Macaca fascicularis: one gene and its partners. The protein of the gene in region 1 interacts with the protein of each later gene in a pairwise test. Links are inferred from orthologs where the notes say so. Each region holds a gene or a part of one and is shown in the gene's direction. Other genes may lie near its edges.

Region 1 (3,749 bases):
CACTGCAACCTCCACCTCCTGGGTTCAAGCGATTCTCCTGCCTCAGCCTCCTGAGTAGCTGGGATTACAGACACGCGCCAGCACGCCCGGCTGATTTTTGTATTTTTAGTAGAGACAGGGTTTCACCACGTTGGCCAGGCTGATGTCGAACTCCTGACCTCAAGTGATCCGCCCGCCTCAGTCTCTCAAAGTGCTGGGATTACAGGCGTGAGCCACCGCGCCCGGCTGCTTTTTTATACATTAAGTGTGCTTGCATGTAGACTGCGACCTCTGGCCCTCAGCCTCTTAATAAATACTCCAAATGACTTCACTGGAACAACCAGAGAATCACCCATCTATAGAGTGAGAAGTTGCTGATCTCATCACTGCGTGGGGTGGGGTGAAGGAAGCAACCCTCACCCTTTCTCGGAAAGCAGCTGGCTTTGAAGAAAGAGAAACCAGGACGGGAAAGTCTTGATTTCTAATCTGAAACAGCGCTTTTTGTCCAGAGACCGGTGACGAGCGACCCTGGGCTCGGGTTTTGATTGGGCAGTTCGGAAACTGTAAAAGCGAATTAAAAGGGTGACAAGCTAGCGCTTTAGCCTATTCAGTTCTGGGAGTTTGCACCGTGACGCTCTGCTTCGTGACCTTGGCTCTGCTCTGTGGGCGCCGCCCAGCCTGGGCGCGTCCATCGTTGAGTACCTTCTCCTCTGCCTCCCGCTCCCTCTGCTTCTATCGCTCTCCAACTGCCCTCCCTGGCCTGTGGCTGCCCGGTCCTCCTTCCCAGCCCAGTGTAGCCGGGTACCCGGGTTCGGCTCGCTCGGGTCTCTGTCCAGGACTGGGAAGCCACGGAGGGCCGGGAAAGTGGCACACTACTGGAGCGCACGCTTCGTACTCCCTCATTGCTGAATAACTACCGGGCAGGACTGGGTGGAACAGACAACATAGCTAGGTCATTGATGGGCTGCTGGGTACATGGATGGAGCTGGAAGGTGATGGGCACTGCTTTCTGGGGCTGCCCAGCTTCGTTCCGAGGGCTCTTTTTTCCTAGGCAGAGCGGGAAAGAGGAGGGGCAGGCCGGTCGCGAAACGCAAATAGTTGAGAATAGCGATCGGGGGAGAGGCAGGTGTCTGTGGGGCCCAAGAGAAGTACCACCTCGGTAAGTAGGCCGGTGCATGCAGGGGAGCGCAGAGCCCTAAGCCCTTCTCTGGGCTCCACCCGTTTTCCTGCTGGGCTTCTCATTTCCTCACTAGGTTCTAGGGTTTGCCGATCTAAATCCAGTTCGTGTACCATTGTATTGTGTAACATTTTTGGCAGCTTACATCTTTGTTTATTGAGATATAGTTCACAAACCATACATTAAAACATTTAAACGCACATATAAACGCACATTTCAGTGGGTTTTAGTATATTCACAGGGTTGTGTAACCATCACCTCAGTTTTAGGACATTTTCATCACTCCCAAAATAAATTCTGTACCAGTTAGGTGCCACTCCCATTTCTCCCAAACCCCTAGTCCTAGGAAACCACCAATCTTTCTGTCTCTATGGGTTTGCCTATTAGTATTTCATAGAAACAGCAACATATAATATGTGGTCTTTTGTAACGGGCTTCTGTTTTCAAAGATCATCATATTGTAGCAAGGATCAGCTCTTCACTCCTTTTTATTCATGAATAAATACTCTACTGTATAGGTACACTAAGTTTTGTTTATCCATCATTAGTTAATGGGCATTTGGGTTGTTTCCACTTTTTGGCTCTTGAGAATAAAATGTGGTTATCGATATTCATGTATACATTTTTGGTGTGGACATAGGTTTTCATCAATGCTGTTGAGTATATATGTAGGAGTGGAATTGCTGGGTGATATGGTAACTCTATGTTTAATCTTTTAAGGAACTACTAGACTGTTCTCCAAAGCTGAATGTACCACTGTGTATGAGAGTTCCAATTTTTCTACATCCTCACCAACACTTATTATCTTTTTTGTTATAACCATTCTAGTGGATATGAAATGGTATCTTTATGGTTTTGATTTGTATTTCCCTAATGGCTAATTACGCATTATTTAAAAATTATAAGCTAATTAATTTTTACAAAGATTTACATGCTGTGATTTTGACATCTTAACTTCTAGATCACGTGCCCAAAAGTCACAGAGCCTAGACCCAAACCAAGCCTCTCTAAGGCTAATGCTTGAACTCCATCCTCTCTTTCCTAGAAGACAATCTGGAATAAATTTTTCAGAACTCCATTTGTTGCCTCTGTTAGAAAGAAAACACTGGGCAAGATGAACCTGCAAGTAGACTAAACGGTTTATTTCTTATTTGCTGTTAGGAGTGTGTAAGGAGATTTTTTGGTCTCCCATTTTTACTTTATAAAAAATGAGTGAGTGGGCCAAGCACAGTGGCTCATGCATGTAATCCCAGCACGTTGTGAGGCCGAGGCAGGCAGACCACTTGAGGTCAGGAGTTTGATATCAGCCTGGCCAACATGGCAAAACCCCATCTCTACTAAAAATACAAAAAATTAGCCGGGTGTAGTGGCATGCGCCTGTAATTCCAGCTATACAGGAGGCTGAGGAATGAACATTGCTTGAACCCCGGAGAGGCGGAGGTTGCAGTGAGCCAAGATTGTGCCACTGCACTCCAGCCTGGGTGACAGAGTGAGGCTGTTTGTCAAAAAAAAAAAAAAAAAAAGGAAAGAAAAGAAAAGAAAAAGCTCTTAATTGAAGTAGTAACCCTTTCTTGAGTGTTTAATGATACTGTGTTTCTCTTCATGTAAGTGCCCCTTGGACTCCTCCTCCCCACTATCATCAGGTCATGGAATGGGGAGGGGCACTCAGTTTCAACAGCAGTGGTCTCCAAATTTTGTTCAAATGCATAACTATAAAAAATTTTTGGTATACATTCTCTACATATAGCTATACATTTTATACATATACTACTATCAACCTTGATTTAGACATTACTAAAGCTTAATTTTTCTCTCATTTTTTTTTCCATTAAAAATTCAGATCGAACTATCTTACAGGTGGCTCCCAGAAGACCCACTCCCTGTGGGAGCACAGCAGTTGTGGAGGTGAAGACAGGACTGGACCCAGAATAAGAGTTCATATATGCCAGGAAATCTGACCTCTAAATTCTTATAAATCAGAGAGTGACTGAACAACAGCAGTGAGACATTGAAGACTTTTAATATTTGCAGTAAACCTTGGCATAGATCACTTACTTCCCTAAGACTGAATCCAAAAAGCACAATGGAATACTATAATAAGCTGTGACAGCATGTGAATTCCAGACAAGCCTGAGCATTCCCTATAGCCAGAGGAGGCCCAACTCCTAACATAGCTTTGGATGCAGAACTGATAGAACTTGGGGAAAGTAATGAAGTAGTTGACCTCACCTGTGAATCTCTAGAACCTGTAGTGATTGACCTAACTCACCATGACTCTGTTGTGATTATTGAACAAAGGAGGAGGCCAAGAGCAAACACAAGGTCACTCCAAGACCAAACTGGCAGTTGTGTGGTGAACACTGTTGAGGAGGGGTTGAAGAGGGACAGAGATGCATATACAACAACACTGCCCACCATAATTCCTTGCAAAAAATTTTTTTTATCATATACTACGTGATTATATTCAGTGTCAAGTTTGTGTGGATGGATACTCAGAGATTGAACTTAGTATACAACACATCTACTCTATAGAATGTGGCCACATCTGTAGTCAGTGCTTCTGCACTTCCTTTAAATATACTAACACTTGCCC
Region 2 (3,749 bases), on another chromosome or scaffold:
ACTCTTTAAAGTTTAGAGTATACTCTTCCAGGAAATACATATATAAGCTTGTATAAATGTATCATATTTTCCACTCTGTTTTATCCAAATGGCATCATGTTATACATACTTTTGCGCCTTGATGCTAAAGACTGAATATGTCTTGCAAAATTCATATGTTGGAGCCTTAACTCCCAATACAATGGTATTTGGAGGTTGAGGCTTTGGGAGGTGAACAGGTGATGAGGGTGGAGCCCTCATTAATGAGATTAGTGGTCTTATAAGAAAAAAGATGAGAGAGATGGTCTATTTCCACCATCCACCATGTGAGGTTACAGCAAGAAGGTACCTGTTGGCAAACCAGGAGGGGAGCCCTCACTAGGAGCTGACTTGCCAGCACCTCAATTTTGGAATTCTCAACCTCCAGAACTATGATAAATAATTTCTTTCTTTCTTTCTTTCTTTTTTTTTTTTTTTTTGTGAGGGAGTTTCAGTCTTGTCGCCCAGGCTGGAGTGCAATGGCACAATCTCGGCTCACTGCAACCTCCGCCTCCTGGTTCAATCTATTTTCCTGCCTCAGCCTCCTGAGTAGCTGAGATTGCAGGCATGTGCCACCATGCCCAGCTAATTTTTGTATTTTTAGTAGAGATAGGGTTTCATCATATTGGCCAGGCTGGTCTCGAACTCCTGACCTCAAGTGATCCACCCCCCTCAGTCTCCCAAAGTGCTGGGATTATAGGCATGAGCCACCACACCTGGCCGAGAAATAAACTTCTAATGTTTAAGCCACCCGGTCCATAGTATTTTTGTTATTTCAACCATAACTGACTAAGGCACTTGCTAAAAGAGACAGACAAACAAATGAAAAGCCCTACTGAATTTATCACATAAATAATCAAGTTGTCACTTTAATTTTTTGTGTCACTTTTCCTGGATCAAAGTCTTTCTCTGATGCAAAACATGATATTCTCTTTACTCTATATATTGACTCGGGTATCATTAAAAAAAAAATTCAAAACAAACATGCCATTTAAAACGCATGCCATTTAAAACGCATGGTGCCAAACCTCTTTCCTGAACATTTTCTTCCAGCAGATCTGAGTTGGTGTGCAGAAATCTATTTAAAAAAAAAAAAAAAGTTCTTCAGGTAATCTAGCTAGATCTAGCACATGAAAGTTCTTATTCAGATTCTGGCAATTGTTTTCTAAGAATATATTGATAGAGTACATACTTTTAAAAAGTGAATGCACTGGTGCATGACCAAAGCCACAACAACACCCCACACATGTGACTGTGATCTTTGCTCCTTTGCAAAGTCCTCATAGAGCTGAAGAGTTCTGCACTTTGTTCCTTCCCTGGCACACCTCTCTCTGCATTCCTTCCATCTCCTGACATTCTCCACTCCTGTCTCTGTGTTTTAAAACCGGTGTAGGAAGTGTGCATGCTTGTGGCATCAGACTCCGGGCCATGTTTTTCGTGACTCCCATCTTGGTAGCCATTCTCTGCATTTTGGTTGTGTGGATCTTTAAAAATGCTGATAGACACATGGAGAAAAAGAAGGGGGAGCCTAGAGCCATAGCCGAGGCTCGCCCCTGGGTGGATGAAGACTTAAAAGACAGCAGTGACCTGTACCAAGCAGAAGAAGGTAAATATACCAGCTATGCTGCTTAGCTTCGCTGTCGTATGTGTTGATGATGAGTGTGAGTCAATGGCAGGGCTTATGGAGAGGAATAAACACACATAGGCCAGCTTTAGCATCAACCTCTATTCTGCTAATGAATCAGTGCCTGGCACAGACAGATCATCTATCTCCAGTGATGAGCTTGTCACCTGCTGGGACCAACCCTTTTTTATTTTGGATACTCAGTGAAAACACTGTTGAGAGGCTAAAGTTTTCCCTGGCTCCAATTCCATTCTGGTTGTTAAAATCTTTCTGCAGGGATTCATCCCAGGCTGGCAGTGGGCAGGGTCTAAGTGGCCAGGTTTTGATTAGGAACTTTGAAATCTACCAAGTGTCATCACCTAGGAGGCTGCCACCTTTCCCTGTGCCAGGCCCTGGAAATGAAGGACTGGGGTGGCCTTTGTCCTCAACACACTGAATGTCCAATTCAGCTGCCAAGGTGATACACGAGAATCAGAGAGAGTAACAAAGAGACAGACCCAGTGGAACTGATTCTAAGGTGTTTAGAGCAGGCCTGGGAGTTTGACAGTGCAGTCAGGGAAAGGACAAACTGGGTTGGGAGGATGAATAGGGTACAAATAGCAAGTGCTGGGAGGCCTGTCAGGCAACAAGGGGCAGAAGAAGCAGGAGCACCGGGAGGCCTGGGGTGGGGGTAAGAGAGGAAGTGGAGAATCGAGGGCGGAGGGAAGGGGTAAGAATGGCAGTAGAGAATTGAGGGTGGGAGGGTTACGGCCACCTTGAGAAGAAGAGGTGATGAAGGAGGCAGGTATGAAGAGAGAGACTGTGGAAGAGGCTTGAGCCATCAGTGTTTGAGAAGCTTTGTCTGGGATGGGTTTGATTTGGAAGAGGCTCTGTGATCTTCAGCTGGGCTAATGATGCCCCTATCCCCAAACAGAGTCTATCTGGACATGTGAGTGTGTGTGAGTGTGTGTGTGTTCATGAATGTGCATGTATGTGTGCATGTAGTGTGTGTGTGTGTGCATAAGAGTGTATGTGTGTGCGCGTGTGTGTGTGTGTGAGTGTGCATGTGAGTGTTCATTAATGTGCATGTGTGAGTGTGTGTACATGAGAGTGTGGATGAGTGTGAGTGTGCGTGTGCATGTATATGTGTGCCTGCATTAATGTGTGTGAGCATGCATGAGTGTGTGTGTGTATGCGTGTGTTTGTGAGAGTATGTGTGCATGAGTGTGTGTCCTAATCTCAGTTTTGGGGCACAGGGTGTCCAGCTGGCCCTCAGTGCTAGGAGCCTGAATGCACTGCACAGGAGTCTAGCCCCTCAGCAGGGCTGCCTCTTGCTCTCCTACATTGAAAGCTCTTCCACTCAGAACATCAGTTCTACCCAGCAGAGAAGCACTTTTAATCCAGGGGACATCTGCTGTGAAGCTGGGTAATGGTTTGTGCTGGTAAGGATGGCCCGGATGGTGGGGGCAGTGGGAATGCAGTGGAAGGGGTGGATCAGAGTGAAGTTAATGGAAGAGCAACAGGGTTTGCTAATAAACTGGGTATTGGGAAAAGGTAGAGAGAGGGAGACTTGGAAGCTGGAAGCTATTATAAGTGGGTGAGGGAATGAGGATCCAGCTTAAAGGGGAAGATGTTGAGTTCCATCAAGGACATGTTTTATTTCAGATGACAGTGACACACCTGAGCAGAAAAGGGAGAGAGAGAGCGGTCTAGGTTAGGGGCCCAGGCCACAGATACTGACTGGAGAGTCACCAGTATGGGGAAGATACTTGGAACCTGGGCAACTAATGAATCCACAAAGAGAGCATTGCTAGAGAGAAGGGTGAAGATAGAACTTGGGGGACACGTGCAGTTAAGAGGAACTATGGAAGAGAAATGTACTAGAGAAAGGGAGAAGCTGTGGGAAAGGGAGCTCTGGGATCATAACAGTAACAAGCCCTTATATATTAATAGCACTTACTGTATGCAATCAGAGTCACATTTTATGTGTAGTAAATCGTTTCATCTTCATGACAGTACAACGATTCTAATAGGTAGGCGCTATTAGAATCCCCATATTATAGATAAGGAAACTGAGGCTCCAATAGGGTAAGCCCAGGAAGGTGATTGCAGAGACAGGACCCAAGCA
Region 3 (3,749 bases), on another chromosome or scaffold:
TTACATATTCATTCATTCATTCCACAGCACTAATCACTCCATGCGGTAACTCTGTGTCCCCATCTCTCTCAGATTTAGTACCTGGAAAACAGCCATTCTGTCTTAATTCAATTGGTATCCCCAGGGCGCATTTCTTTGCCTTGAAAATTGAGTACCCAATAAATGTGCGTCGAGCAAAACTACATGAGATGGCGAACAGGGGTTTAAGGGTATGGGGGAGAGTCAGCAATGACTGGTGTTCTCCCTCCCTCCCCGAGCTCTGCTCCTACAGATCCAGGACGCCTAGCGAGGGTAGGAACCTCTTCGGTGCTTCCGCAACGCTCTGAACAGCACGGCACTGAGCGCATCTAATTAAAGTGATGGTTTCATTAGATAGCAACTCAGCGAGACCCTGTTTCTACAAAAAATAAAAAATTAGCTGGGCGTGGTTGCTCGAGCCTCTAGTCCCAGCTACTTGGGAGACTGAGGCAGAAGGATCGCTTGAGCCTAAGAGTTCGAGGTTGCTGTGAGCTATGATCGCGCCACTGGGCTCCAGCCTGGGCGACAGAGCAAGATCCTCTCTCTAAAAAAAAAAAAAAAAAAAAAACAAAAATAAAATAATGGTTTAATTGCCGGCCTTTGCCCCTTCTGCCCCCCACCCCCCACAAGTCTGTAGGACCGGGTTGACTTCCCAGAGCTTAGTACAGATTAGATGCTAAATAAATGTGTGTTGGACGGATGGGCGAATGAATGGATGGATGGAGGATGTGGTTGTGCTTACCATGCTCCCCGGTCAGTGGGTTAATGTCGTCAGGCGGGGCCAGGCTCGCTAACAGCCGGGCGGGGTCCCTTCCCCCGGGCCCCGCCCCGGCCGACCCCACCTTTCCGCGCGGCTCCGCCCCGCCGCCCCCTTCCCAGTGGCCCCTCCCCGCGCAGGTCCCGACTCCAGCCGCACCTCCTCTGGCTCTGCAGTGGCGGCGGGGAGGCGAGCCGGAGCGACTGCGGGGCCGGGACCGGAGCAGAGCCGGGGTCGGGCAGCAGCAGGGACCCCCGGAGGCGGGGCCTGTGGGACCGCTATGGGCGTGGAGATCGAGACCATCTCCCCCGGAGACGGTACCGGGCTCCCTCCGGAGCCGGGGGAGGGGAGGGGTCCCCGGGCGGAGCCCGGAGGGCGGGGGTCTGATTCGGAGGTGGCGCGGAGGGTGCTGAAGGGTCGGGGGGCTGGATGGGGAGGGCAGGCGGAGACCCCGGACGGGATTCTTGGGGGTCTAGGAGACCATCCTCCACCATCCTCTTCCGCGACTCACCTAGGGGAATGTAGGTGGCAGCCTGGAGGCGGGGGTCTGCGGCCCGGAGCCGGGGGTCTGCGGCCCACCACCCCGGGCTGCTCCTGTCGCCGCTGCTACCGTTCGGTTATCCGCTGCTGCTGATACCCCAGGCTGGGTTTCGGCTTAGCTTTCCCTGCCCTGCTCGGCGAGCTCTGGAAAGCAGGACCTGCTCTCGGGTCTCCGCTGCTCCGGGACCTCCTCCTAGCGCGTCCCCCGCCGGGCCTCCTGTCGGTCGCTTCCCTGTGGGCCGGGCTGTGAGCGGCTGTGGGGACAGACCCAGGCTGGGAAAGGGGGAAGCGCTCCCTTGCCGGCTTCCGGATCTCGCTTTATCCTCCCGCCGCGTTCAGACTCCCTGGCCACCCTGTCCACTCCCATGGCCTCCACATTGAAGCTTCTAAGCCCAGCCCTGCGACCTGCGGCCGGACCTCTCCCTGGAGGTCCCAAGGTGCTCCCTAGTCAGCAAATCCAAAACAGAACTTGCGCTTCCCACCTTCTCCCCTAAGTGATCCTTCTCATCCCCCTTCCTTATCTCACTTTCCCAAGCCCTTGTATTACTGGGTCTGGGTGTGCAAGGAATAGCCATTTCTTTATTTCTTGAAATTTAATTCATACCAAAGCTCCCATTGTCTGCAGGGTTTGATGGGCAAACTTCATATCAGATATTATTAATATGAACAGCTCCCCTGCCCAGGAAATTGGAGAACTTCTTGGCTCCAGGCCATGCTCCTTGTCCAATCCCAACCACTACTTTGGATATCCCCTGGGGTACAGGATTCTTTGCCCACGCAGGAAACCTTGATGCTGGGTCCCAGAAAGCGTCTCCCTGAGGCCTTTTCATCCCCCAGCAGCCCCTGAGCTAATCTCCCCATCTTCAGCCTCTCCTCCCTGCCTTCAATCTCATCCCCAATCTCATATTCACTCCCTTTCTACATCATAGCCTGAAGACTCTTCTTAAAATGTGGTGGCTCATGCCTGTAATCCCACCACTTTGGGAGGCCGAGGCGGGTGGATCACAAGGTCAGGAGTTCAAGACCAGCCTGACCAACATGGTGAAACCCGTCTCTACTAAAAATACAAAAATTAGCTAGGCGTGGTGGTGCATGCCTGTAATCCCAGCTACTGGGGAGGCTGAGGCAGGAGAATGGCTTGAACCCAGGAGGCAGAGGTTGCAGTGAGCCGATTGTGCCACTGCACTCCAGCCTGGGTGACAGAGCGAGACTCGTCTCAAAAATAAGAAGAAGAAGAAGAAGAAGAAAACAAATGCATATTTGACCATGCCCCTCCCTCAGGTAGAAGATGTTTTAATGATTCTTCCCTCTCCCCCAGGCAGAGGGGCCTTTGGTGCTGTGGTCTATTCTCATCTTCCACACTAGAGCTTCATCTCTCACCACCTGTCCTGAGCCCACCACCAACTTTTTCTCCAGCTTTCCCAAGCTGCCTGCAAGTTGTTGAACACACCACTCATTCAGCAAATATTTATTGAACGTGTGTGCTAGGCCCTAAGGTGACAGCGTTGAAACAGACAGGGTCCCCGCTATTGCTGGACTGAAGGCCTTTGAACATGTTACATGTCATTCCCTCTTCCCAGATGGTGTTTTTTTACTTCCTCTGGCAAATTCTTACTTGTCTTTCAAGACCTGGCTTCGCCATTCTCTCCTCTATGATATTTTCCTTGACTTCTGCAGTCAGTTAGCTGCTCCCTCCTCCAGGCTCCCATAAAGTCCTCTAAATGTTGGCTCTGTGGTTAGCCTTCCTTAGGCTTTGTTATCTAGCCCCATAGCTTTAAATTCCAGCCAAATTTATATCTCCAGTGCAGACTCTTCATCTGCCTACTTGCAATATAAACTCAGATGTCTAATAGGCATCTCAAGATTGCCACCCGCACAAATCTGTTCCTCCCGTCTTCCCTATCTCAGGAAATAGTTCCACTATTCATCCAGTTGCCCAAACAGAAAACCCAAGCATCGTTCTTGTTGTCTCCTTTGTCCTCATCCTGGACCCCATTTCCAATTTGATTGCATGCCCTGTCAGCTCTGCTTCCAAAATATGTCTCCAGTCTATTTCACTCTCTTCTCTGCTGCCACCACCTTAAATCAAGCTATCATTGATTTCTTGTCTGGATTATTGCAACAGACGCCTTACTGTCCATCCTACACATAGCAGTCAGAGTGATGTTATAAAATCTTAATTCGGATTATGTCATTCTCTGGCTTAAAACCCTCCAGTGGTTTCCTATTGCACTTAGTATGAAATCCGGCTCTGCAAGCCCTGTATGATCCATCTCCTTCCCACCTCTGTCCTCCCTCCCTTCTTTCCACCTAACCTCCTTGCTCGCTGCAAATGGATTGATTCTGTGCACTTGTTACTCCTTCCCCAAGTGCTAATTCCCAGTATTTTGCTCATCCTTCAAGTCCTAGCTCCAGGGGCACCTTCTTCAAGAGG

Evidence for each region.
Region 2: the proteins of TRIM69 (region 1) and IYD interact in binary tests that used the Homo sapiens proteins (3 or more experiments, as listed by UniProt). The two-hybrid records come from large-scale screens. The link is inferred for Macaca fascicularis from reciprocal best matches to the Homo sapiens genes TRIM69 and IYD.
Region 3: the proteins of TRIM69 (region 1) and FKBP1B interact in binary tests that used the Homo sapiens proteins (3 or more experiments, as listed by UniProt). The two-hybrid records come from large-scale screens. The link is inferred for Macaca fascicularis from reciprocal best matches to the Homo sapiens genes TRIM69 and FKBP1B.

The regions. Positions count from the first base shown.
Region 1 is NC_088381.1:21,340,666-21,344,414, forward strand, and holds the start of TRIM69 (E3 ubiquitin-protein ligase TRIM69), read left to right. Parts: upstream 1-1,029; 5' UTR 1,030-1,138; intron 1,139-3,749.
Region 2 is NC_088378.1:58,537,426-58,541,174, forward strand, and holds the start of IYD (iodotyrosine deiodinase 1), read left to right. Parts: upstream 1-1,426; 5' UTR 1,427-1,446; coding exon 1,447-1,624; intron 1,625-2,104; exon of another isoform or gene 2,105-3,050; coding exon of another isoform or gene 3,051-3,063; intron 3,064-3,749. UniProt on the Homo sapiens protein: Catalyzes the dehalogenation of halotyrosines such as 3-bromo-L-tyrosine, 3-chloro-L-tyrosine, 3-iodo-L-tyrosine and 3,5-diiodo-L-tyrosine.
Region 3 is NC_088387.1:98,225,289-98,229,037, reverse strand, and holds the start of FKBP1B (peptidyl-prolyl cis-trans isomerase FKBP1B), read left to right. Parts: upstream 1-947; 5' UTR 948-1,055; coding exon 1,056-1,092; intron 1,093-1,286; exon of another isoform or gene 1,287-1,561; intron 1,562-3,749. UniProt on the Homo sapiens protein: Has the potential to contribute to the immunosuppressive and toxic effects of FK506 and rapamycin. PPIases accelerate the folding of proteins. It catalyzes the cis-trans isomerization of proline imidic peptide bonds in oligopeptides.